Linked DNA regions of Bombyx mori. The protein of the gene in region 3 binds, or shares a complex with, the protein of the main gene of each other region. Links are inferred from orthologs where the notes say so. Each region holds a gene or a part of one and is shown on either strand. Other genes may lie near its edges.

What was found.
Region 1: eIF3i (region 3) and eukaryotic translation initiation factor 3 subunit J share a complex: the UniProt entries of both Drosophila melanogaster proteins name them as parts of the eukaryotic translation initiation factor 3 (eIF-3) complex. The link is inferred for Bombyx mori from reciprocal best matches to the Drosophila melanogaster genes eIF3i and eIF3j.
Region 2: eIF3i (region 3) and eukaryotic translation initiation factor 3 subunit M share a complex: the UniProt entries of both Drosophila melanogaster proteins name them as parts of the eukaryotic translation initiation factor 3 (eIF-3) complex. The link is inferred for Bombyx mori from reciprocal best matches to the Drosophila melanogaster genes eIF3i and eIF3m.
Region 4: eIF3i (region 3) and eIF3h share a complex: the UniProt entries of both Drosophila melanogaster proteins name them as parts of the eukaryotic translation initiation factor 3 (eIF-3) complex. The link is inferred for Bombyx mori from reciprocal best matches to the Drosophila melanogaster genes eIF3i and eIF3h.
Region 5: eIF3i (region 3) and eIF3c share a complex: the UniProt entries of both Drosophila melanogaster proteins name them as parts of the eukaryotic translation initiation factor 3 (eIF-3) complex. The link is inferred for Bombyx mori from reciprocal best matches to the Drosophila melanogaster genes eIF3i and eIF3c.
Region 6: eIF3i (region 3) and eukaryotic translation initiation factor 3 subunit F share a complex: the UniProt entries of both Drosophila melanogaster proteins name them as parts of the eukaryotic translation initiation factor 3 (eIF-3) complex. The link is inferred for Bombyx mori from reciprocal best matches to the Drosophila melanogaster genes eIF3i and eIF3f1.

What each region holds. Positions count from the first base shown.
Region 1 is NC_085125.1:12,545,423-12,548,922, forward strand, and holds the end of eukaryotic translation initiation factor 3 subunit J, read left to right. Parts: coding exon 1-43; intron 44-1,110; coding exon 1,111-1,250; intron 1,251-2,715; coding exon 2,716-2,778; 3' UTR 2,779-3,139; downstream 3,140-3,500. UniProt on the Drosophila melanogaster protein: Component of the eukaryotic translation initiation factor 3 (eIF-3) complex, which is involved in protein synthesis of a specialized repertoire of mRNAs and, together with other initiation factors, stimulates binding of mRNA and methionyl-tRNAi to the 40S ribosome.
Region 2 is NC_085119.1:6,794,689-6,798,645, reverse strand, and holds the start of eukaryotic translation initiation factor 3 subunit M, read right to left. Parts: upstream 2,801-3,957; 5' UTR 2,661-2,800; coding exon 2,616-2,660; intron 2,520-2,615; coding exon 2,340-2,519; intron 2,098-2,339; coding exon 2,003-2,097; intron 1,172-2,002; coding exon 956-1,171; intron 81-955; coding exon 1-80. UniProt on the Drosophila melanogaster protein: Component of the eukaryotic translation initiation factor 3 (eIF-3) complex, which is involved in protein synthesis of a specialized repertoire of mRNAs and, together with other initiation factors, stimulates binding of mRNA and methionyl-tRNAi to the 40S ribosome.
Region 3 is NC_085121.1:5,018,518-5,022,777, reverse strand, and holds eIF3i (eukaryotic translation initiation factor 3 subunit I), read left to right. Parts: upstream 1-1,460; 5' UTR 1,461-1,536; coding exon 1,537-1,539; intron 1,540-1,664; coding exon 1,665-1,891; intron 1,892-2,001; coding exon 2,002-2,134; intron 2,135-2,826; coding exon 2,827-2,994; intron 2,995-3,127; coding exon 3,128-3,586; 3' UTR 3,587-3,787; downstream 3,788-4,260. UniProt on the Drosophila melanogaster protein: Component of the eukaryotic translation initiation factor 3 (eIF-3) complex, which is involved in protein synthesis of a specialized repertoire of mRNAs and, together with other initiation factors, stimulates binding of mRNA and methionyl-tRNAi to the 40S ribosome.
Region 4 is NC_085110.1:3,930,549-3,934,526, reverse strand, and holds the start of eIF3h (eukaryotic translation initiation factor 3 subunit H), read right to left. Parts: upstream 2,801-3,978; 5' UTR 2,785-2,800; coding exon 2,707-2,784; intron 1,704-2,706; coding exon 1,486-1,703; intron 1,378-1,485; coding exon 1,218-1,377; intron 545-1,217; coding exon 340-544; intron 1-339. UniProt on the Drosophila melanogaster protein: Component of the eukaryotic translation initiation factor 3 (eIF-3) complex, which is involved in protein synthesis of a specialized repertoire of mRNAs and, together with other initiation factors, stimulates binding of mRNA and methionyl-tRNAi to the 40S ribosome.
Region 5 is NC_085122.1:5,758,885-5,762,864, reverse strand, and holds the start of eIF3c (eukaryotic translation initiation factor 3 subunit C), read right to left. Parts: upstream 2,801-3,980; 5' UTR 2,666-2,800; exon of another isoform or gene 2,562-2,665; intron 2,397-2,561; 5' UTR 2,373-2,396; coding exon 2,280-2,372; intron 14-2,279; coding exon 1-13. Other genes in the region: soluble NSF attachment protein 29, read left to right, coding at 3,003-3,800. UniProt on the Drosophila melanogaster protein: Component of the eukaryotic translation initiation factor 3 (eIF-3) complex, which is involved in protein synthesis of a specialized repertoire of mRNAs and, together with other initiation factors, stimulates binding of mRNA and methionyl-tRNAi to the 40S ribosome.
Region 6 is NC_085124.1:490,865-495,126, reverse strand, and holds the start of eukaryotic translation initiation factor 3 subunit F, read left to right. Parts: upstream 1-1,462; 5' UTR 1,463-1,517; coding exon 1,518-1,626; intron 1,627-1,893; coding exon 1,894-2,040; intron 2,041-2,962; coding exon 2,963-3,186; intron 3,187-4,262. Other genes in the region: DNA repair protein XRCC1, read left to right, coding at 1-55, 371-508. UniProt on the Drosophila melanogaster protein: Component of the eukaryotic translation initiation factor 3 (eIF-3) complex, which is involved in protein synthesis of a specialized repertoire of mRNAs and, together with other initiation factors, stimulates binding of mRNA and methionyl-tRNAi to the 40S ribosome.

The DNA.
Region 1 (3,500 bases), on a different chromosome or scaffold from region 3:
CCAGGATTCATTGATGACCTAGTCAAGAATATTTTAGTCCAGAGTAAGTAAAATTCATTGTTTATGACTTCATTGATTGTGTTTGTAATTCAAATTGCTGATTTTTGCTGTGAAACAGTAATGCATTCAGTTTGAAGTGTAGTGTAGCCGTTGTACTGCACAATTTAGACTTTCGACATAATGTCTCAAGGAGTATGGCAGCATTCACATTGTGATGTCACAGTAACTGCTTGTCACCAGGTGGGCCGTGAGCTCATTCACCTAATAATAAATAAACATATAGTTCATGCTTAATATGGGGCTTGGTTCTGCTTAATACGTAATCATCATCGTGAAGTAAATATCTTCTCATTGTCAGTGGTGGTCACCAATGTAGAATATGACATTTATAAATGAAATCTTTCATTTCTAGATTGAAGTTAATTCAGAGCAACTCCATTATTATGATTGTGAACTTTCTTTCATTAGATGCCGCTAAAGTGTAAAAAGTCTTATAAAATTTAATAAATTCTGGATTTTTTGTTGCGTTTCGCTATGAAGGGCGGGGCGGCTGTCGTACTGTTAAAAGTGAGACCTTTACATCTCATGTCTCAAGGTGGGTGGCGGTATTTACGTTGTAGATATCTATGGGCTCCGGTAACCATTTAACATCAGATGAGCCGTAAATTTGTCCACCCAACTATGCAATAAAAAAACATATCCAGATTAATCTGGTACGCAAGATCTCATCTAAAGTCATTAGGAAATAAATTTTCTTACTATGCTTAGATCTTTTCATATTACAAGAAATGTCATCTGCTTTTATCTGTTGTGCAGCAGCCATTATGCTTTTATGAGATATCAGGCTTCATGGCTGCATGTTAAATCATTGGCATGATGCATTGAACGTTTAAGATTTTAATGACATATCTAGCTTTCAATATCTCCATAAGAGAATAATATTTCTTCTAATTGTGATCCTCAAATAAATTTATTTTGTCATATGATCTTTTTAGAGAGTTAATACTTATGTAATGTGTTAATTGTATGTGAAAGTGTATTTAAAATGGGTGAAGTATGACTAATATGATAAAGTATGACTGAAGTATGACGAAGAATCTATAATTACAGTGTCATCAGCGGATATCCGACGAATAAAATTGACTGTCGATAATCTATATATTGAAAAACAGAAGGCAGAAAAGAATGATAAAACTAAGAAGGCCACAAAGGGCAAGGGCAAGGCCAAGTTAAAACTTGAAGGGGACAATGTGAGTTTATTTTTTATTTAGTTATCAGTAACTCGAATATCCAGTAATTAAGGTATGTTGTAAGGTTGCGTTTATTACTGGTGATAGGACCTCTTGTGAGTCCGCGCGGGTAGGTCCCACCCTGCCTATTTCTGCCGTGAAGCAGTAATGCGTTTCGGTTTGAAGGGTAGGGCAGCCGTTGTAACTATACTTGAGACCTTAGGGCTTATATCTCAAGATGGGTGGCGAATTTACGTTGAAGATGTCTATGGGCTCCAGTAACTACTTAACACCAGGTGGGCTGTGAGCTCGTCCACCCATCTAAGCTATAAAAAAAACAAAACAGTCAGCTCTGATGGGCATAGCGGTTCTGTTAATATCTACAACAAACAATCAACATTCCAGTTTAAATCTGAGACTAAATTATGTTTTTATGTAGGCAGTTCACATGAGTTAAAGTATCCACATGATATGTAATCTCCCTAAAGTCTACAATACGAATAAAAAAAAACAAAAACAACTCAAAACACACAGTCCTTTGACTTCACATCTTAATAATCCAATTACAATATTTTGATGTTTATAAACAGCAGAATTTTGCATTAGCGCAGACAATTTACATTAAAAAAAAAGTTGTGTTTGTACCAAGGAAAACTTTTGTAAAATTACCGTGCAAATTTCACGAAATAATGATAATTCGTGTGATAATGATAAACGTGATTGATAAGGAAGTGTAGGCTGTCGATAAGCTGATATCAGACCGCGCTAGTATCGACATAGGTCAAGTTCGTGCCTAATCTATACTTGAACAATAATTGTATATTTAGCCAGTTTGATTTTGTGAGAGAAAAACAAAAACATTTGATTGAAACAAAATTTACCCTTGCATGAACCTACAGTACATAATGCTTATAGCGTCTCTTGAACATTTAAAGTCATTCCAATTCTTTACGGATGGAACTTTGTTGGTATTATTAGACATTGCAATTGCTAAATTGGAAAAATATATTGATAGTTGTTCATTCGATTGTGAGATGATCAGTGTGATTAACAGGTTTAAATATTACAATAACTTCATTGATCCGGTGAATTTCTGACGCTACGAAAGTAGACTAGTAGAGAAATCAAATGTACATCTATACTAATATATAAATCTACAGTGGTTTTTACGAATGTTCCATTATAACTACTGAACTATGCATCCGATTGACTTGAAACTTGGTATCCATGTAGAAAATACATGTACTTAATAGATAGGCTAATATTTCTATGAGTTTTGGACTCCCTAATAATAATGTTAATTTTAAATGCCCAACGAAGCGGGCGAGTACGGCTAGTCGCATATAAAGCCAATTAAACGGATCTTTATACTGCACTAAATCTCATTCAATAAAGAAACTCGTTGAGCTCACTCGTACAATTTTTTTCAATTTTCACTATTTTCTCAATCGTGGGTATTTATATATTTACACTTTTCTCGTTTCAGGCTCATCTCAATCAATACGAATCATATGGGAATTTCGATGACGACTACGATGATTTCATTTAAATAAAGCCAATAAGGAACTTATACACAAATTTGATGTCCGAATTCATTGAATTTTCAACTTCATTTACTATATAAAAAAAAATACTTTCCTATATATATATATAAATGTTTTTTGTAGAATGATATTGCGTTAGTCTGTTTTCTTGTAATCTCGTTTTATTTATTGTCGGTAATCGATTTGGCACTGGCCAAAATCGATATTGTCGATAACAACAATCGATTTATGTAATTCGGACATCAGGTAAGAAAATAATCATAGCATTGTTTACGCTAACGGTAATGGTAATGGTGTTGCTATGATAAAGTTTTAAACATCCGGTTGGAATGCTTAAATTATCGATTATGTAATACATAGAGTATCTTTGGTGACATAAAATCGAACTGAATTGTAAGTAATTGGGCTGTTACCTTAATCCATTGTTGTTACTTCTATAAACTAATCTACACAATTTAGCAATCCAACTCGATAAATATATAATATGCCATTGTATAGCATATAAACATACTATATACATGTAATGTACAGTTTCATTGAACGATTATTTGTCCGATGTTATATATAGAGAATAAATTTTTTTATTGTGATATTATTTTTGTTTTATTTGATCAACACGTTTTATTGTATTATTTGTGTGTTCAATATTTGTTAGCAAATGACCAAACACTGGTGTTACATATTTAAAGGTATTTGCCAAAAGCATTTTTTGTTGGGATTAGATTAG
Region 2 (3,957 bases), on a different chromosome or scaffold from region 3:
TTGCATCTTCTCTTGCATATGAAGCATTTTCATCTGTATATGTGCCCAGTAGCTCAATCATTACTTTAGCAGCTAGTTCACTGTAAATAAAATACATTTATATTTTTTAACGGAACATTCGAGTTTGTATTGTACACTAATTCAAAGCGATTACAAAAATCTACTTACTTACTATTTATTTAGTGCCCTTGTAAGAAAGACATTCCTGTGCAAGGCTGTCATCTTTTTAATATATTACATACATAATCCTCTTATTAGTAGATAGCAGTTTTTAAAATCAGGCAGGTCCAATGACAACAGCACATCGTATACTTAAATTACTTTTATAATTAAGTTGTTGTGGCCTAAGAGATAAGAGGTCCGGTGCATTCGTGTTGATGCACCCGGTGTTCGAATTTTTCTAATGAAATACGTACTCAACAAGTGTTCACGGTTGATTTCCACGGTGAAGGAATAACATCGTGTAATAAAATTCAAACCCGCAAAAATTATAATTTGCGTAATTACTGGTGGTAGGACCTCTTGTGAGTCCGCGCGGGTGGGTACCACCACCCTGCCTATTTCTGCCGTGAAGCAGTAATGCGTTTCGGTTTGAAGGGTGGGGCAGCCATTGCAACTTACTTGAGACCTTAGAACTTATATCTCAAGATGGGTGGCGCATTTACGTTGTGGAGGTCTATGGGCTCCAGTAACCACTTAACACCAGGTGGGCTGTGAACTCGTCCAGCAATCCAAGCAATAAAAAAAAAAAAAATAACACAAAATGAATAGTACTAAAATAATTTTCAAATAGCAAAACATAATTCTAAACATAGAATCTCTTTTGGTGAAATATGTTTGCTATTTTGAGAAATATTAATAACAATGTTTCCTTAACAAGCAATCAGACTTTGGTACATCACTCATAGAAATAATATGGTCATTGTTTAATAAATTTAATGTAGTGAGAACATACCTGTTTTGGTCTTTTAACACTTGATGTAAAAGCCGATACAATTTCTGCATTTGTTCATTAGAGGGTGGGCAGTTAGCAAACTCTTTCCTAAGCTGCTCAACCCCAGTGAAGACTTCCCTGACAAATCCAACTCGTGCAGCCAGTTCTATGACATGATAATATACATGGTATCTTAGAGGTGAGTTGGGTTCTAAGTTGTTGTAAAGTCTCCATAACCTATGAAACAAACATTTTGCAAAATTACTATCTTTCATGTGGATGAAAGTGATTGTCCTAAACTAAATACTGCTGGGTGATTATTTGGTATAAATTTTTTTTCATTACTTTCCTGTCAGCAGTTCCACTTTTTGTGCCACAATTAAAACTTTTGATGAATATACTATTACTTAATCATACTTCCATTCACACACAAGCATCAAGCATTTCTGTAAGCCTTATGCATTTTTCCCTAACAATCATTAATACATATTCTGCTTCAATTCTATAAAATACCAATTTGGAATTCTAGGATCTATTTTTATTATATTTTACTAGCGACACGCCCTCGCTTCGCTTCGGAAACTGTAATTTATTATTGATTTCTCCACTATTTAATGGATGTTATTATACATATAAACCTTCCTCTTCAATGCCTCTATCTATTAAAAAAACTGCATCAAATTTTATTGCGTAGTTTTAAAGATTTAAGCATACATAGGGATATAGGGACAGAGAAAGAGACTTTGTTTTATACTATGTAGTGAAGACATGTACATTGGATCCATTTAATCCCAAAAATAAGTAAATTTATTTGACACATTTTTTTCTGTCCTTAATGATTTTAAAATATTGTTTATTTGACATTTAAATAAATTATAAAAAAATAAAAATTGCAACATTCATTTTTAAACATTTATGGGCAAGAAATAAAAAGCCTTATTCCCTATGTCATGATGGATTTAAACCTGTGATTTCACTTAAATCTTTGTAACTAAGATCTGATAAGTGATGTAGTTGGTTGAATAATAAAGGTTACTTGCATAGTTAAAAAAACCTCTATATACTTACGATTGCAAAGCTACCATTCCAAGTTTAGGGCCAGGAGCCTTAGTGAGCCTTTGACTAAATGCTAAGATAAGGTTTTCTCCTCTTTCTAATGGTATCTGTGAATATTAGTTGCAATATATATGTAAGTATGCGAGTCAACTATCAAACATTTATTTTTATTGCCCTTGTAGGCTGACGAGCACACGGCCCACCTGATGGTGGTTACCGTCGCCCATGGACTTCAGCAATGCCAGGGGCAGAGCCAAGTCGCTGCCTACCGCTTAGTACTCTAATTAATGCTAAAGTACACCTAGATGTTTCTTATTAAAAATAACTATAGCTTTTGCGTTCAACTTACAGAAACCATAATAGAGACAATACTGTTCAGAATGGCTTCGATGTCCGATTCACTCGGCTCTTTGAAACAAGCATCACAAACCCCAACGATCTTATGCAGATCATCCTCAATGCCCTTAGGTGATTTTTCTTCTGAAATCTCGGCGCCAAGGCTCTTAAAATATCTTCTCAGTTCGAGTGCCTTCAATCAAGAAAGAAATTTTATTAAAATTTGCATGTAGACACATTGCAGCAAATAATTTGTTTTGAACGACAGGTTATGTTGACATAAACTGACCTGATCTTCCAGGGATATGTCCATAAACACAGCTGGCCCTTGCATTTTAATTCCTTTTTTGAACTGTATTCTTTTATTTATTATTTATAAGCATTAAAGTGAATGCAAGAACGATTTCTTAGCAACGAAATGTGGCAAACGATATGACAGTTAATAGAGTAGTATTTCTAGTTTTTCCAACTGAGAGGGCAAAGGTATCATAACATATAGCCTAATCTTTTGTATATTGTTTTTATGAAAAATGATATAAAGAGAAATGAATTGCAACGTGAGCATTATAAGGTGTTAGTGTGACTTCAATTTGGAAATTATATGATTCCCGAGCTTCTCCAATATTGTGCCTTGTTCCTCACAGTACACATCCACTGTAATACTTATGGCATTTGATAAGAACAAAACTACACAATTTAAGAAATATACCGACACTAAACCACTAAACAGTAATTGTGACTTTTAATAAAAAATTCAGTTGAATTAGGAATTTACTGTCAGAAATGCATAAACTACGTTTCAAATGGTATTTTAAAACAGTAACTTATTGGTAAAGACCCGTTATCGTGGCAACTATATCTCGTAAATTTGTAAACCTACATCTGGCTTAAAGGTCTTGTTACCAAATCACAAAAACTTCAAAAAGAAAAATACCTACATCGTAGGTAGTGAATTTTAATCGATAAACAATATTTTACAGAAATCGGCTTGATATATTAATAAAAAATGCGTAGTTTTCGAAAATTTATAGATATAAGTACGCATATAAATGGCACAAAAGTGAAAAATAACCTACCATACGTATCTTCCGGTATTCCATCCTTAGACCATATAGTTGGTAAGTTTTACTATTATGTTTAATGGATTAGATTGGCAAAACAAGATCAAATCAATTTTAAACAATTGTAGGGAACAAATTTAATTTATAAAAGTTTTTATTGTCATATATTTACAAAAATCAATAAAATAAATATAATTTTACACTTTCTAGGTGGAGGAATACCTGCAGGCAGCATTTTTGTTGTAGGTTCGTGAATTTCTTTTAAAATTGCATAATATCTTAGAGCCAAAACAAATTTAATAAATAAATATGGATATGAAATTTAATAAATAATCAAATTAAAAATATTTAGTTTTTTATCATAACTTCATTTAATTTTCAATACATTGCATTTTAAGAAAGTAAGATTAATATGATTTTTATATTCACACAACGCATTGTTATTAATTCCAATGAAAGGACTTCAATTACCTTATTTACTTTTCAGAGGAAGATGTCCTTGGTGTGTACAGCAAAGTGTTATTCAAATATTTCATAGCAGAGGGTGTAGCTTGTGACCATGAATTATTT
Region 3 (4,260 bases):
TAATTTTAAGTATTATGAATACCATAAGGTTCTATGTTTGTACGTAGCAAATCACATTAGTTGCTGATTGCTGTACTATTCTCGATGGATTAATAAAGGCTGTTTGTTATACGACCAAGTTAAGTGCGTAGTGACTATTGATTGTGAGTTTTGTCTCTCGTTTGTCTCGTTCGAGTGGTGCGCCGGATGTTAGTCAAAAACAGTGTACTGGTTTGCCAAGAGAAGTTACCTACAGTTGTGTTTAGTTAGCAACGCATAACGTGTTTGTACTTTAATTTGTTTTTTAGTTGTACTCTTGGAAATCAATGGTTATTAATTTAAGAAAATAAAATGTATGTCAAATATTGTTGAAAATGTTTTATTTTTTATCCGTCTTTTATAGCGTCAAACGAAAAATCAGTTATTTCCTGGAAACATCGGGGTTAGCTTTGAGAATGTTTGGAGATCACAGTATCGATCAACCCGAATTGTACTAGCGAACATTTCAAGAAATCTTGCAAGTGGACATATTTCAAACCTAACTTTGGACTGTGGGTGCATTATTTTTAGAGCGTGGACTGTATTTTGGTGCTAGAACCGGTCACCATCCTCGTTGAACCCGTCGCTTGCGACGATGGGCTCGACGAGTGAATTAGCCCATAGACACAGCCCACTGAGTTTCTCGTCGGAGCTTCTCAGTGGGTTGCGTTTCCGATCCGGTGGTAGATTCTGCGAAGCACTGCTCTTGCTAGGGCCAGTGTTAGCAACACTTCCGGTTTGATCCCCGTGAGCTCACCTATATGTTAGGATGAAGCTGAAATAGCTTTTCAAGGCTATAGCAAGGATATACCATAGGTAGGAAAAAAGAAAAGAGAAAAAAAAGAGGTGCTAGCTTCAATAAAAACTAGATTCAGAGCGAAGAATTTTTGATGTACAACACGTGCACGTACGACCAGAATTTTATTGTAATTCTCAAATATTAAGTGTATAATCTATGATTGTAACTAAATTAAATGTATGGACTTTTTGGCGGGAACGCGAGGAGTGAAGTTGTGTGATTGGTTTTATTTTCTCTATTTAGTGTTTCTTCAGGTTTCAGTGTGTAATAACGGTGGTTTATTAACTGTTTAATATCTGCGAAAGTGCACAAATGTGGGAAAATGAAACAAAGCCGCTAGACGTAGCAATACGGGATCCTCCAAAAAGTCCACTGAAAAAATCTTAGTAAATGACACCATTTTACTGAGATTATATTTCATCCCATATCATCTCATCTCATTTAATTTAATTTCATTTCATTTCACTCCATATTATCATTTTTCATAAAAATAAGAATATAAATTAAAATAAGACATGACCTAAAGGTCTTAGTTACCAGGTCATAACATCCTATAAAAATTTACCATAGGCTATAGAGCTCAACTATGCGCCAAGCGAAGGCTAAATAAAAATTAAGAAAAAAAAATCTTCTGTCAAAAGGTCCGCCGCCTGCCACATGTCACCACATCGTTTTTATTGTGATTTATAATAAACTATTAAATAAAATACTTTCTAAACATGGTAAATAACACTCTTATACAAAATTTTAATGCCTCCAAAGTTATTGTGTGAAATATCAAACAAATTCAATCACAAACATAGCTATGACTATAAATTAGGTAAATTACTTACTCATGTAATTCCAGAAACCTCTTATGCTGCAAGGGCACCAGCGTGCCATCACACAGATCAAATATAACCGCGAGGGTGACTTGCTCTTCTCCGCCGCTAAAGATTCAAAACCAAATGTTTGGTGGTCACTGAACGGCGAACGTCTTGGCACTTTCAACGGCCACGGTGGTGTAATATGGTGCCTTGACGTCGACTGGCAGTCAATTAATCTCATCACAGGTGGTGGCGACAGTTCCTGCAGGTATTATCCTCAGTATATTATAAACAAATAAAGTGTTGAAAATTGCATTCTTTTTTCATGTTGTTTGCTCAAAGATGAGTAGGCTGTTGATAACACTAAACGATGCACAGGTTATGGGATCTGGAGACAGGCAAGAATATTGCAACACTCAAATCCAACTCTTCTGTAAGAACATGCAACTTCAGCTATAGTGCATATCAAGCTGCTTATACCACTGACAAAGCTATGGGACACCCTTGTGAGGTAATTACATAGTATATACATTTTATTTAAATAGAGAAACATGAATTGAGGATGAGAAAGACTAATGGATATTATGACTGGCAACTTTAACATTAGAAGAAAAGTAAAATTGTATGCAAAGCTAAGCATAAATATTATTATAGTTGTTTCCGTTTCAGAACTTTCATTCTCTATTAAACCACAATGTGAACTTGTCTGCTTCACTTCAAAGTGGTTTATTGAGGGCCATGCCTTAAAAAAAATCTTATTTTTTGTTCTTTAACATATCCGTCAATTAATGATTACAACTTAGTATTCAAGAGTAATTCCTACATACCTTGTATTTCTTTAAACTAAGATTTGTTGACAGTACAAGTGTCATTTATGCTGACATTTCACTTTGTTTTTTTTTATTATGCTCCAGACATTTAAAATTTATTATTACCGAAAGGCTCACTTGTAAATTTAATACCCTTTAACTTAAATCACAAAATATTTTGAGCAGGAAATACCCTTTTTCAAACTGAACTGAAACTTTGGAGTCGGTTAAATTATAGTGTGCTTAGGTAGACAATATCAACTCTTGGGAATCTCTATTTTAACCCTTAATGTGTTTCCTATATACATATACAGTAAGTTTTTACTAACTAGTATTATAATTTTGTATATCCTGTGATAACAATTAAGATATAAAGTATTATGTCAATTTACAGGTGTTCGTTATTGATACAAGAACAATTGATGAAACAGTGTCAGGTCAAGCTCCTATTTTAAAATGGGAAATCACAGATTCAAAGGTTACTTCAATGATTTGGGGTTCTTTAGATGAGACAATTATCACTGGTCATGAAGCTGGTGACCTTATACAATGGGATCTGAGGGTATGCAAATAATTATTCAATAGACTAAGTAAATTCAAATATTATCTACTTTCTCCATGCAAAAAAATTATCTTTCATAGAAATTATTCTGTTTATTTTTAAATAGTGCTAATGATATCTAATTATTTTTCAGACTGGTAAAAAAATCCACTCTGTTAAAGAGCATACCCACCAAATCACCGATATGCAACTTTCTCGTGACGGCACAATGTTTGTAACTGCTTCCAAGGATCATACTGCTAAGTTATTTGACACTAACTCATTAGAACTTCTTAAAGAATACAAGACAGAGAGACCTGTAAATTCTGCTGCTCTCAGTCCAATCCTTGATCATGTTGTACTTGGTGGTGGTCAAGATGCTATGGAAGTGACAACCACATCAACCAGACAGGGTAAATTCGATGCTCGTTTCTTCCACTTAGTATTTGAAGAGGAGTTTGGCCGAGTGAAAGGTCACTTTGGTCCTATCAACAGTTTGGCTTTCCATCCAGATGGAAAGTCCTATGCTTCCGGAGGTGAAGATGGTTATGTTCGTGTTCATAACTTTGATCAATCTTACTTTGACTACACTTTCGATTACAATAGGGAGTAGTTAATTTGCAATACTCTAGTGTTTCATAAAATTATAAGAAAATAAAGCCTCATTAAAGTTTTTTGTATATCATTTATTTAAATGCATGCCACTTTATCAATCTACATATATAATAAAACAATTAATTCAGTACGTCTATACATTTAGGAAATTTTATATAAGTAGAAAAATAATAATTAAAGAACAGTAATAGAACATAAACTGGACATTTTTAGAATTGGTCACCATTTGTCTGTTCACCCACATTTGTCACATATTTCTGAATCTATTGAAAGGATTTTCACTGCATATATATTGAAACATTGTATGGAAATAGTTTAACCTTTAAAAAACTGGGATGCCTTTCATTCCACTGCTGAGCATGGATCTCTTCCACCCATGTGATATGTAATGCAGCAGAAAGCTAGTTTGTAATATATTCTGTTAATCCCATTATTCATTTTCAACAGACTATTTCATGATGGTACATATTTAATAATAAAAGGTAAAATTAAATATATAAATATAAAAAACGAAGGTATAAATAATGAAGATTTAAAAAAATTATAGTAATATGTCAAAAAGAACAGATCTCATAATAAAGAACATAAAAGTGGGTCAATAAACAAAAAAATTGTAATAGATGCAACATTTATTAATACAAAACTTTACACTTATGGAATACTTTGATCACA
Region 4 (3,978 bases), on a different chromosome or scaffold from region 3:
AATCTTCAGGCTCTTAAGAGCCACCTCATATTAACATAAGGGAATCGAAGTTTTAATGACATTGGATGGATGTTTATCTGTACCCTTTAAGAGGACACTTTCTTAGTAGAATTAATAAGCAAGATGATAGTGAAAGCTCACCTGCTTAAAATTGTCTATTGCCATTCCTCCACATAGTAAAAATTACAAGTTTAATATAGCAGTTAGGAAACAACTACTGGGAAAAGTAGTAGCTTCAGATTGCAGCAAAGGAATCAACCCATAATTGATGTAGTCAGATGTAGCCTAAATCTTGAAAGCTTTTCTGATAATTGTATACCATAGTAAAATTAAACAAACCTTCGAGAACAGATGCAGTACCCAGATCCAAAAACTTGGATCCTTCCTCTTCAGGTATCATCTCGGTGAGCTCAGAGATCATTATGTTAGTTAATGGAGAGTTCCGGATAACAATTGGCACTTCAATGAATAGATTTTCATAGCCAATCTTCAGGTTACGTAGTGCTTCCGGAGTGTAATCGCCTTCCTTGTACATAGCAATAGCCTGTAAAGTAAGTATTAACCTCAATTTTACATATATTCTTATTCATACATGAACACCCAACTATACATAATGTTTTCACAATATAAATATAAAAAAAAAACAACAATAATTTACTTGCTTGTTGATGAGCATATTGTGAGTCCAAGTTACTATTATTTCTGCACGTAATAATAATGTGTTTAAGGATTGAGAACAGTCTTACATCTTAAGACATGTGTATAAGAACATACATTACCATCCTCTTTATATTTGCTGGGAATCATACATTCATTCTGGTTTAATGGTGAGACATCAAATATATTTTTTTTTATTATTTTTATTGCCTTTGTAGGCAGACGAGCATACGGCCCACCTGATGGTGAGTGGTTACCATCGCCCATGGACTTCAGCAATGCCAAGGGCAGAGCCAAGCCGCTGCCTACCGCTTAATGCACTCATGTTGTGATATCTGCAGGTTGCATGGACCACTTAGATAGTATCCCCATAAAAAACATTTAAAATATCTCAAAAATATAGATTCTGCCATTCACTTAGCATTAACAAGTGATAACTTCACTAAATATACGTAATATAAATAAATAAAATAGCTCAACTTCAGAAATTAGTTCTGTCATAAAGCTCAATTAACAACATTAGCACTTTAAAATGTGTATAGTTATGAGAGCTTAATTACCTGAGGTGTCAAACGATAGGCCTTCAAAGTCAAGAATCCTCTGGCTGATTTCTTTGTATCGTAAATCACAACAACACTCTCCTCAATAGAGGTCTGATAGTGATATTGTGACTCTAATAACGAAAGGCTTAGAAAATTGCCTACATCTGCACTCTGGTACCTGAAGAAAGATATGAGGTATAAGAAAAAAGAAAGTTCTGCTGTTCTAATTTAAAATATTGTATGACATATTTTGACATACTATAAAACAATTTTCAATATTAATTACCATCCAACATGAAAATGATCAACATTGACTCTTCGAAGCCTCCTCATCATGTCCAACTGGTATTCCTCCTCATCCATGGTGTCGTCATGCTTTGGAAATGGGAAGCAGTTGGTAATCTCCAGACGGTTCTCAACGACCAAACCAAGGAGAGCTCCCTGAGCCACCTCCATGTTGCTGCATGATTCTTCATGACAGTGTTTCACTATTTTCATCACTGCCTAAAATAAAAAGCACAAATATATTATAAAAGTGGGAGCAGATCTGTCATTTCAAATGCTTGAGTTAGTTCGATGAGGATTTGTTTGATTACCACATATTAAACTGTTTTACCACTACTTTAAGCATGTTTCAACTAAATAACTTCAGAGAGGATATTATTCAAGGCAAGTTAAAATACACTTTAATGTGTAACAAGTTTAACAAAACAAATTAATACCTACCCATCCCTAATAAATTATTGCTATATTAACTTTCTGTGTATGTGTAGGAAATCAATCAGCTTGCTATTTGCAATCAATCAGAACAAAAACTAATCTCAATCATTTACAGTTAGGAAACTATAAAATTATCAGTAAATAGTAGTATAGTATATAACAAAAAATGACTTCACATATACTATCAAGATCTAAACTTTGTAATGAAGCATAGTTTAAAACACTAATTATATAGTTCAGAGAAAATTTAATGTTTTAGATGTACAGTTAGGTGAGATCATCCTCCTATTTCAATGACCCCCGGGCTCAGGGCAAATGTCCCAAAACAGTCAATGACTCAACAACGTTTATATGTTGTAAACAGAAATAAAAAACCTTTGTAGTCTTTTATTTTCTTTTTATATCGAAAGTTTTTTGGTTCATAGAATCCTATAGAAATTAACATAACGAATTATTCAAGGTTTGGTGAATTGTCAACGTTTGCCCGATTTATTTAAAAAGAAACGAGAGCACAAAATTGAAAACATAACCTATACAATTATCTTTATTATTGCAACGGCAACCTATTTTATTGTAATCTAAGATCTCCTAAAATCATACAACACGAATCATGTTCCAGATCATAATAATCCACCTTAATTGACGATGTTTACTTCTATATATTAATTAAATGGTAAAAATACATGACGTGTCGAGGCACGAACTTTCACAAAGTTTTTAATTTAAAACCTACAGTTGACGTCCGTCTCAGAGAACCTATCTAAACTTTAATTTTAAATTTACTTACCAGTCCATCGCACTGAACATATTGGATCGTCGCTTCATTTTCAGGAGCGCGTCTAGCTGAACCAGCACGGCTCGCCATTTTTAATTCACAAGAGAACGTTTGATTTGATTACATTTTAGTGTAGCTCTCCAAATCGACTATCAATAGCTATCGATAATTGTAATCGATACCTTATTTGCAATCGACACTATACGACAGATTAGCCTTTAAAAATACTACCACGAATATCACATCTCGATTAAACTTAAACACTGTTGGAACTATATACCAGTTTTTACAAATTTCTGGGTTTTAAAAAGAGTAGGTATACGAAGACATACACACGCTAATGAGATTAATATAGTAGTTTTTATATCCCAGTTACAATGCAATAAATAAGTGCCGTAATTTTGCGTATTGTACTATGGATCACAATGATAGTTAATCCTAATGTTTACGGTATAAATGTAAAACAATTAATGCATTATGATCTTGTAAATATTCTTTAACAAATCCATTTTTAGTAATGATAAAAATTAAGGTTTAAAAGATTTTTTATTTATATGATAAATCTCAAATGTTGTTCAATCTTTTTCTATTATCCATGTATAAATTGTATTACATTCTTACAGATTTTGAATTAAAAAAAATACTATAAAGTTAAGTGATATGGCTCGAATTACACTTATAGACGTGAGGTCTCATTATTTGCTTTAATAAGGAAGTGGTATCAATTCGCGTTATCGCTGTATTTATATTTTACCGTTCGTCAATTTGTAATTAATCGTTTATTTATTAGGTTGTACCTTATGGAACATTTTGTTAACTTACGACTTTTGCTTAAGACTCTCGCTCTACAAAGCACAGGTCCGGCCTCGTGTGGAGTACTACTCCGACCTCTGGGCCGGGCTCCCAAAAACCAGCTACTTCCATTTGACTCTATACAGAAGAGAGCCGTTCGGGGGCTCCCAAATACCAGCTTCTTCCATTTGACTCCATACAGAGGAGGGCCGTTCGGATTGTCGATAATCCCATTCTCACGGATCGTTTGGAACCTCTGTGTCTGCGGAGGGACTTGGGTTCACTCTGTTATTTTGCACCGTATGTTCCATGGGGAGTGCTCTAAGGAATTGTTAGACATGAAACCATCATCTCGTTTTTACCATCACACCGCCCGCCACCGGAATAGAGTTCATCCATAATTCCTGGAACTACTGCGGTCATCCACAGGGCGTTTCCAGAGATCTTTTTGCCACGTACCGTCCGGCTTTGGAATAAGCTCCCCTCCACGGT
Region 5 (3,980 bases), on a different chromosome or scaffold from region 3:
CATCGTCACTAAACTGTTGCCAATATAAAGAATTATAATTAATTGTACTTTTCTTGTTCAATATTCTTCTACAGTTGACTGAATTATTAAATAAAATTTGAAAAAATTATTATTCTAAGCTTATAATTCTAAAGATGTAAAATAGACATGTATTAATTTGTTTGAAATTGCCACCAACTAAATCAACGATCTTGAAAAATTTTTGTACCACAGACCAAACAAATTTTATGTAATAAGGCGAACCTATTCATGCTTAGTCGATTTTGAAAGTACTTCAGAACGAGAACTCTAGTAAAATAATGTAATAGCCCTTAATATAGGAAGTCCGCTGAGCGGACGCGGCACTGTTGCCGCCACTGGCCGCGTCTGTTTGAAGTCCTTTGAGCGGACGGGTCCCTGTTGATAGATAAATGTGATTTGACATTTCACGTATCTGTGGAGTCCGCTCAGAGGACACCGCACTGGGGAGAGGTTAATGTATCACAATAGAACATTAACTAGAGTTACAACCATGCTCGGTAAGAGCTGTTGTTAGTAAGCTAGTGTTAATAAGAAATAACTATCCAGTTGATTTTATTAACGCAATATTATAATGGAAGAAATTTTCAATACTCGAATAATCATCATTTGAAGACCAAAACTAAGACATGTAAAACATGCATGCCGTGGTAGCGCAGGCTCTTCTTACACAAGTATACGCAACCTTCCTGTTGTTCACTTATCCTGAGTGCATACCTCAAAATAGAGGCAATTTACTGAAATGACTTGGGACTATAATAATATTGTGAATTGTAATTATAATCTTGTAGAATTTTCCCACAATGGCGCACTTTTAAGATTTTTAATCTGTTAACAATATACAATATTAAAAGATGACAACAAAAAAAAAATTAGCAAAAAAACACAGCAACTCTTATCTCCCAATCAATTTATAACTTTTAGTCTGATCATTTTCTTTTTAAAATTTGAAGCATATGTTTAATGTTTATTACAATTAACATTAGATATGTGTCGTTCGCCAACGAACGAACCAAACGACCCGGGTTTCAAAATCCGCGCGAACATTTCAAAAAATATGAGTCGTTCACTAGATTGACCCGTTTAACAAAACCTACGAATCAGAAGAAAAGAACCATGCAACAGTCATTCGGGTCATTTCGGGTTGCCGGGTCTCGCCCCGCGCCCGTCTCGGTTAGACGTTCGCTGTCGCATAATGACGCATAACGTATTTGAATTTTTTTTATCTCACCTAAACAATCGAACTATAACAGTTCCTTTAAACTGTTATTCAATACTAAACTTCATTCAGCCAGTGACCTGATAATATTAATCACATCATAAATTGGTGTGATTAACGGAAATCCAAACGTTTGACTGAACGGGTCGAACGAACCGGATCATTTTGTCAACAGGTCAGTATTGATCTGATTCTCTAAAATTGATTGAACAACACATATCTAATTCACATCACTGTACTATTCCGGAATCAAAGCATCTTGTTATACAAGTCAAGACAAATTAATAACAAATTGATATGCCAATCACTAGATGCACTTATTAAACTCATAATTGAAATAAATAGAAGTTTTAGTGGCTTACTATTGTTACTATTAAATTATTTATCCATGTATATTATTATATTACTCCAAATTATCTTTCAAGCAGTATGCCAGTTGACCAACAAGTCTACTAAGAGTTTAGGAACGAAAGAGTAGCACGAGCAACCCTTTGTCCTGCCAAGATGTAACTTGTGGGATTTTTTCAGATATTTTAAATTTAACATGGGTTGAATCCTATGTCATACCTTATTTATTATGAATTAAAAATGTTTTAATAATATTATACCATATTTTACAAAGATGACTGAATACAAGAAATAAAATTTATAATTAAAATAATTTCACAATCATTACAAAATATGGCTGTTCCCTTTGCCCATTCAATTTTTTGGACAAGTCGTTAGAAAGCTGTAAGCTGGCACAATAGCAGATTGCGAGCAGAGCAGAAATACATTATTGATCGCTACCCCCTCTATTAGCTACTGATAGTGGACATTTAGGAAAGAATTTAAAGGATCACATTTTTCAAAACTTCTAAAAGAGTTACAAAATTTTGCTAATTGCATTGCTGATTACCGAAAAAAAGTTTCATATATCTTGTCATCCTACATGAGATTAATGTTAGTCTCCCTTGGTAACTTAAAAAACTATTTATCTTTTTTTAAACTATAAATTGAAAATTTTGTTTCCTTGATTCCCAATTATTTATTTTAAATTTACCGTGTAAACTGGCGCGGGGGCGCGTACTACTGGCTCGTCCTCGCTGCTGCTCTCTGACTCCGAGTCCGTCCCAGTTGCAAAGAAACGACTCATATTTACAAGAGTTAGTTAATGCTTCTGTAAAAGAAAACTTCGTTAATTCCAAATGAACATTATTTGACTCCAATGGTAATTTATTTTCTTAAATATCTTAAATAAACATCAAAATTAGTAATAAATAGTTGACTTGTCCTCGCGTTGAGGTTATAAATTAGAACTGTTTAACATTTTTACAATACTTACTGTCTTATATTAAAAACAGAGTAGGTATTCAGTTTTCAAGCAATCCTCTGATGATAGACTTAATAAATTTGTAGCGAATAGAAAGAAAGCTCTCAAATACAGACCTTGCCCACGACTCACTTCATACGTCAAACGCATCAAAGTTGATCAAAGAGCTAAACTTTGTTTCAATTGTTCAATTGGAAAGGCAAAGGGAACGTGGCATATTGACTTTTTTTGTTCAATTAGACAGACACTTAAAAAAATCGTTTTATTTGGCTACATCCCTTTGCTCGTCGTATCAGATAAATTAAACCTAAAATAAACATTTATGGTACATACCTACCATAATAATTGTGTATTATCTGTGCTTACCACCCCCATAATTTCAAGTGCATTCTTTTTGAACATCACCAATAAAGTAACGAGAACACACCTACGTAGTAAATTACATTTTAAGCAATGTCTGGGCATAAATATTTCACAAATCCGAACAACCTATTCGAAAATGACGACGTCGATGATAACGAATTTGTAGATCGCTTCCGGTCAAGAATACCTCAAACACAGCAAGCAAATAAGCCTTATGGAGGTCATATTGCAGAACTGGAACGTCAACGCCAAGCTATGATCCAAACACAAAGAGAAATCGAACAACGGACAATAGATTCATCAACGAGAAGTATCGGATTGCTTCGTGATTCTGAACAAATTGGTATTGCAACGGCCGAAGAGCTTTCCCGACAACGTGAACAGCTACAGAACACAGACAGGCGACTTGATGAGATTAACACCAATTTAAACTATAGTCAAAAACATTTAAATGGTATAAAGTCTGTATTTTATGGTCTGAAGAATTATATTTCCGGAAAAAGTGATCAAACACCATCTAAAAGTCCAGCGACCTCGAATGTACGTAATGCTGGTACAAGTAGTAGCAGGCTTGATGAAACCCTAGATAATATGTCTAGGAACGTTGAAGATCGCTTTGAGAGTCATCCCTCAGCACGCCTACATGGTTTGTCTCAAGAAAGCGCTAAGAGTCCTGAAACAGAAAACGAGAGAGTAAATAATATACTTGATTCGAACTTGGATGAAATGGTGCATGCTATATCCCGGCTCAAACATCTAGGAGTTGCACTTGGTGAAGAGATAGAACAGCAAAACAACCTCGTGGATACTATTCAAGACAAAGTTGAGATTGCAGATATCAAGATTGGTAAACAAAATAAACAAATGAATAAACTACTTGGGAAATAGCAATAATTATAGCAAATTAAAGATTTATTTTAAACAACAACTAAAAGGGTCTATTAATCTATTAAATGTATCTGTTTATAAAGATTTAGCATGTTTTTAATGTGAGTGGTTTGCAAAATTCAGTAGTGTAATCATTTTGTGTGATAAGGAATACTAATGTATGGCAAAGTTTGATAAGAT
Region 6 (4,262 bases), on a different chromosome or scaffold from region 3:
ACTGCGGGCGCGCTGCTGGCGCTACCTGCGGGCCTACGGGGGGCGCGTGCTGCAGGTCGCTCGTGCTGCAGGCACAACAATATGACATGCCCTTCTTCAAACGAGGCTTGTAGAGAGTACTTAACGATAGGCAGCGGCTTGGCTCTGCTCCTGGCATTGCTGAAGTCCATGGATGACGGGAACCACTCACCATCAGATGGGCCGTATACTCGTCTGCCTACAAGAGCAATAAATTTATATTCTTATATTTATATTTATATAAATTTATATTAATTCAAAATAGTTAAAAAATTTCATGATTGTCACATTTCCTCTATGATTGGATAAATATACATATTTTCCTAATTTTAAACAAATGTACATTTTTCAGAAGTCTCAGCTGGATGAGGACAGCCGCGTAGATTACGTGGTGTGCGACGACGGCGCCGCGCCGCGAATCAAGGGCCGCGCCGTCACTGCAGCCTGGCTGTGGAAATGTCATCAACAACGAAAACTGTGTCCAATATAACGACAGCTCAACTTGTGAATTCCTTTCATTAAATAACTGTCAGCTAACAACGCCTTTTCTTTCACAAATCTCAGTAAATGACCACCATTTTACTAAGATCCCATATCATCTCATTTCATTTAATTTCATTCTAGTTGATTAGGGTCAATTCCCACTGAAAGAGCAGCGGCCGGCAGCGTCTTTTTTAGGCAAAATATTACAAACTATTTTGAATCTTATCTACGTGATTAAAAAGTTCATAGTCATTTGAAGGCAAAGGAGGGGTAGCGTGACGTCGCGAGGCTGCACGAGCCTTCTACCGACTAGTCAAAAGAGGCGCCGCGCGGCTGATCGCGGCGCAGCTAGCTGACGTGCGGCCGACCGCGGTGCAGCTAACAGACTCGCGGCTGCGCGCGAGCGACCATTTCATACCCGCCCGCCCTGCCGCTTACGCATTTCGCGTCATTTTATTAGAGGGTATCAAGTTAGAACGTGCTACGCTCCGTGAGAAAAAAATGTACCCAAAATTTTCTTTTCCTTTTTCTTTCCGTTTTGTTTGTTACTTCTTGTTCTTCTTCTACAGCCAGTGCTATGATACATAAATCCAAATCCACCATATTTATTGCCACACAACTTTCCTTGAGTGAAGTAGATCGCACACTAGTTTTCAAAGCTACTACGCGGAGGTTCATTGCGGCGCCTCGGGATGCCGCGCTGCCTCTCGCGGCGCCGCACTGCCCCGCGCGGCGCCACACTGCCCCTTGCGGCGCCGCGCTCAATCACTTGCTCTTACGGCCGCTGCGCGCCGCTGCTCTTTCAGTGGGAATTGACCCTAATGTCTCAAATTAATCATCTTCATTTTATTTCATTTCACTCCATATTATCATTTTTCATAAAAATAAGACATGACTTAAAGGTCTTAATTACCAGTTCATAAAATCCCTAAAAAAATTAAAATTAGCAGAGATAATACCTACAATATTCTCTTGTACTCTGTGTTTCTGGGTTTGTAGTTTTGGTCGAATTAAAAATGGCTCTCAATATTAGTGTGAAGGTCCATCCTGTTGTTTTATTTCAAATTGTGGACGCATACGAACGTCGAAATGCAGATTCTCACAGAGTTATCGGCACCTTATTGGGTTCGTATTGATTTATAAATCATGCAATAACTATAAATTCAAAGGACATTAGTTGTCAACGTCATGTCGTGTACCAAATTTTATGAGTTGTTATTTAAAAGAAAAATCCCTAAATGCTAAATATGTACGTCAATTATCATTACACATTTCACTTTGGCTTTTCCACATCAACGTTATAGTTAATTTGATAAATTCCTTGGTCACATAAGCCAGGTGCAATACAAATGTGTAAAGGCGTTGTAAGGTTATGTTGTGCTGTTGCTGCAGGCACGAGCGACAAAGGAGTGGTGGAAGTAACCAACTGCTTCTGCGTGCCACACAAAGAACATGCCGATCAAGTCGAAGCGGAACTTAATTACGCGATGGATGTTTACGAGCTGAACAGAAGAGTCAATTCCTCTGAAAGTATTGTTGGTGAGCTATACCTGCATTATACTCAAATTCACATATGTAACAATACTCACAGACGCATACACACACAATTTACACTAATTATTATTATTATTATTATTATTATTAATGCTTTATTTCAGTTATTATTTTTTTTTAAAACCATAACATTTTGTTAGTAATAATTACTTATAATCTATGTTAGTAACTTAAAAATCTAACACATAACTATCATTATATTATACATTTTATACCATTATATATTATTATTTTTCTCCTTCCAAGTGCCTACTGCAAAGGCTATTGATCAGCAGTCCCTCGATCTTGCTCGATATGATTCTCAAAAGACTGTTGTCACTGTCACGAACTCGACGCAATAACGATGCACTTCTCTTCCGCATTATTGCAAAGAAGTCATCTGTGTGAGATGTCGCAAACATTGTGGATGCACTACAAAAGCGCGGCAGTGACAACATCATCCTAAACGCATTATTATATTGGACACGTAGGGCATTGTAAGCTCTCCGCGTGTATGTGGTCCACAGACTACTGGCGTAAAAATTCTGGCAATAAGCTTTAAAAATTGTAAGTTTGACATAGCTATCGCAACCAGTAAATCTGCGGGCCAGCATGTTGCATCTTACTATCAACTAATTGCCACATCATCATCATTTTCCTGCCCTTCTCCGAGTCACCTGGAGTCGGCGCAACATATTTTCTCCGTTCATACTCCTCTATCATAATACCATTTCTTCGCTCATTCCACTCTTACACATATTGTCCTTCATGCAATCCATCCATTTCTTCTTAGGTCTACCTCTTCCACTATAGCCTTCCACATTTATAGTTAACACTCTTGACAATTGCCAATTAATAAAATTGGATCTTTTACTTCCCTTAGCATACCTTATACATTTAAATTCAAACTCATTTGTATTATTTTTAGGTTGGTGGGCGACTGGCAATGAAGTAACCAACCACTCCTCTGTTATACACGAGTATTATTCCCGTGAATGCCGTGAGCCTGTCCATGTTACTCTGGACACTTCGCTGGCTGGAGGTCGAATGGGTTTACGTGCATATGTTTGTGTACCATTGGGAGTGCCAAATGGAAAGCAAGGTTGCATGTTCACTCCTGTAGATGTCACTCTCACATGCTATGAACCTGAGGTAATTATTGAAGATTTTGTACTGTATTCATTGTCAATATTTGCTTTATTAAGCAAAAATATGGTGAAAACTGCTGAAAGGCCATTAAACTCTGACTGTTACAGGTTTAAATTTGTGTTCAAAAGGCTTCAAAATCATGAGCTGTTTTAGACTCAAATTTGTTAATATTTCAATATCCATGAACTCCAAAACTGCATTGTGTGGAATCACATATTGTTATATTGTTAAATAAAAAAAGGGTGCGTGTACTTATGTGCGCGCGTAAGAAGTTATACTTAATTTTTATTAATTTTTTTTTTTTAATAATCATAAATTAATAATAAATATTTAATGTTAATAATTTAATAATGTTTAGTATGAATTACAGTCAAACCTGGATAAGCGAGAGTTAAAGGGAGCACAATCTCATTCTCGCTTATAGAGGTTTCTCACTAACCCGAGTTTCTCCCTAATGAACCCTCTGAATGTCATTTCGCGATTTTCCAGATTCAAACGCATTCACTATTTTAAGTTTATCACTTAATGACAGTACTTTAATTTTCCGTTTTGACATGATGCAGAACAGATTTTTCCCTCGCGATTGATTAACGATAAACTGAGTAAGTCTGACAAACAGGACGGTACACCGGGACACGTGTCCATTCGAAAAGAATGCGATAAATTAACAACGTTATTTAGTTCCACGAAATAGAATAGGTTCTATATTGACGAGAAAACAATACAAAAACAATGTTAAAAAGTTCCATGAAATTTAAGAATGGGTCATAAAATAGCAGATGTTAAATTTGTAATTTGTTTTGTCATTTGTTCCTCCTAAATAATATTATTATAAATAAATAAAGCTCGACTGTCGCTTATAGAGGTATAGACAAGTAGCAGTCTCACTTACGGAAGTCCATAAGGGAAAAAACTACTCTCGCTTACAGAGGTTTCTGTCTCTCGCTAATAGAGGTCTAAGAAGCTAAAAATGACGGGTCCTGGCTATTACTCTCATTTATAGAGTTTTCTCACTTATCCAGTTCTCACTTACCCAAGTTTGACTGTATATTAAAATCCCTTATTAATCTGGTAATTCC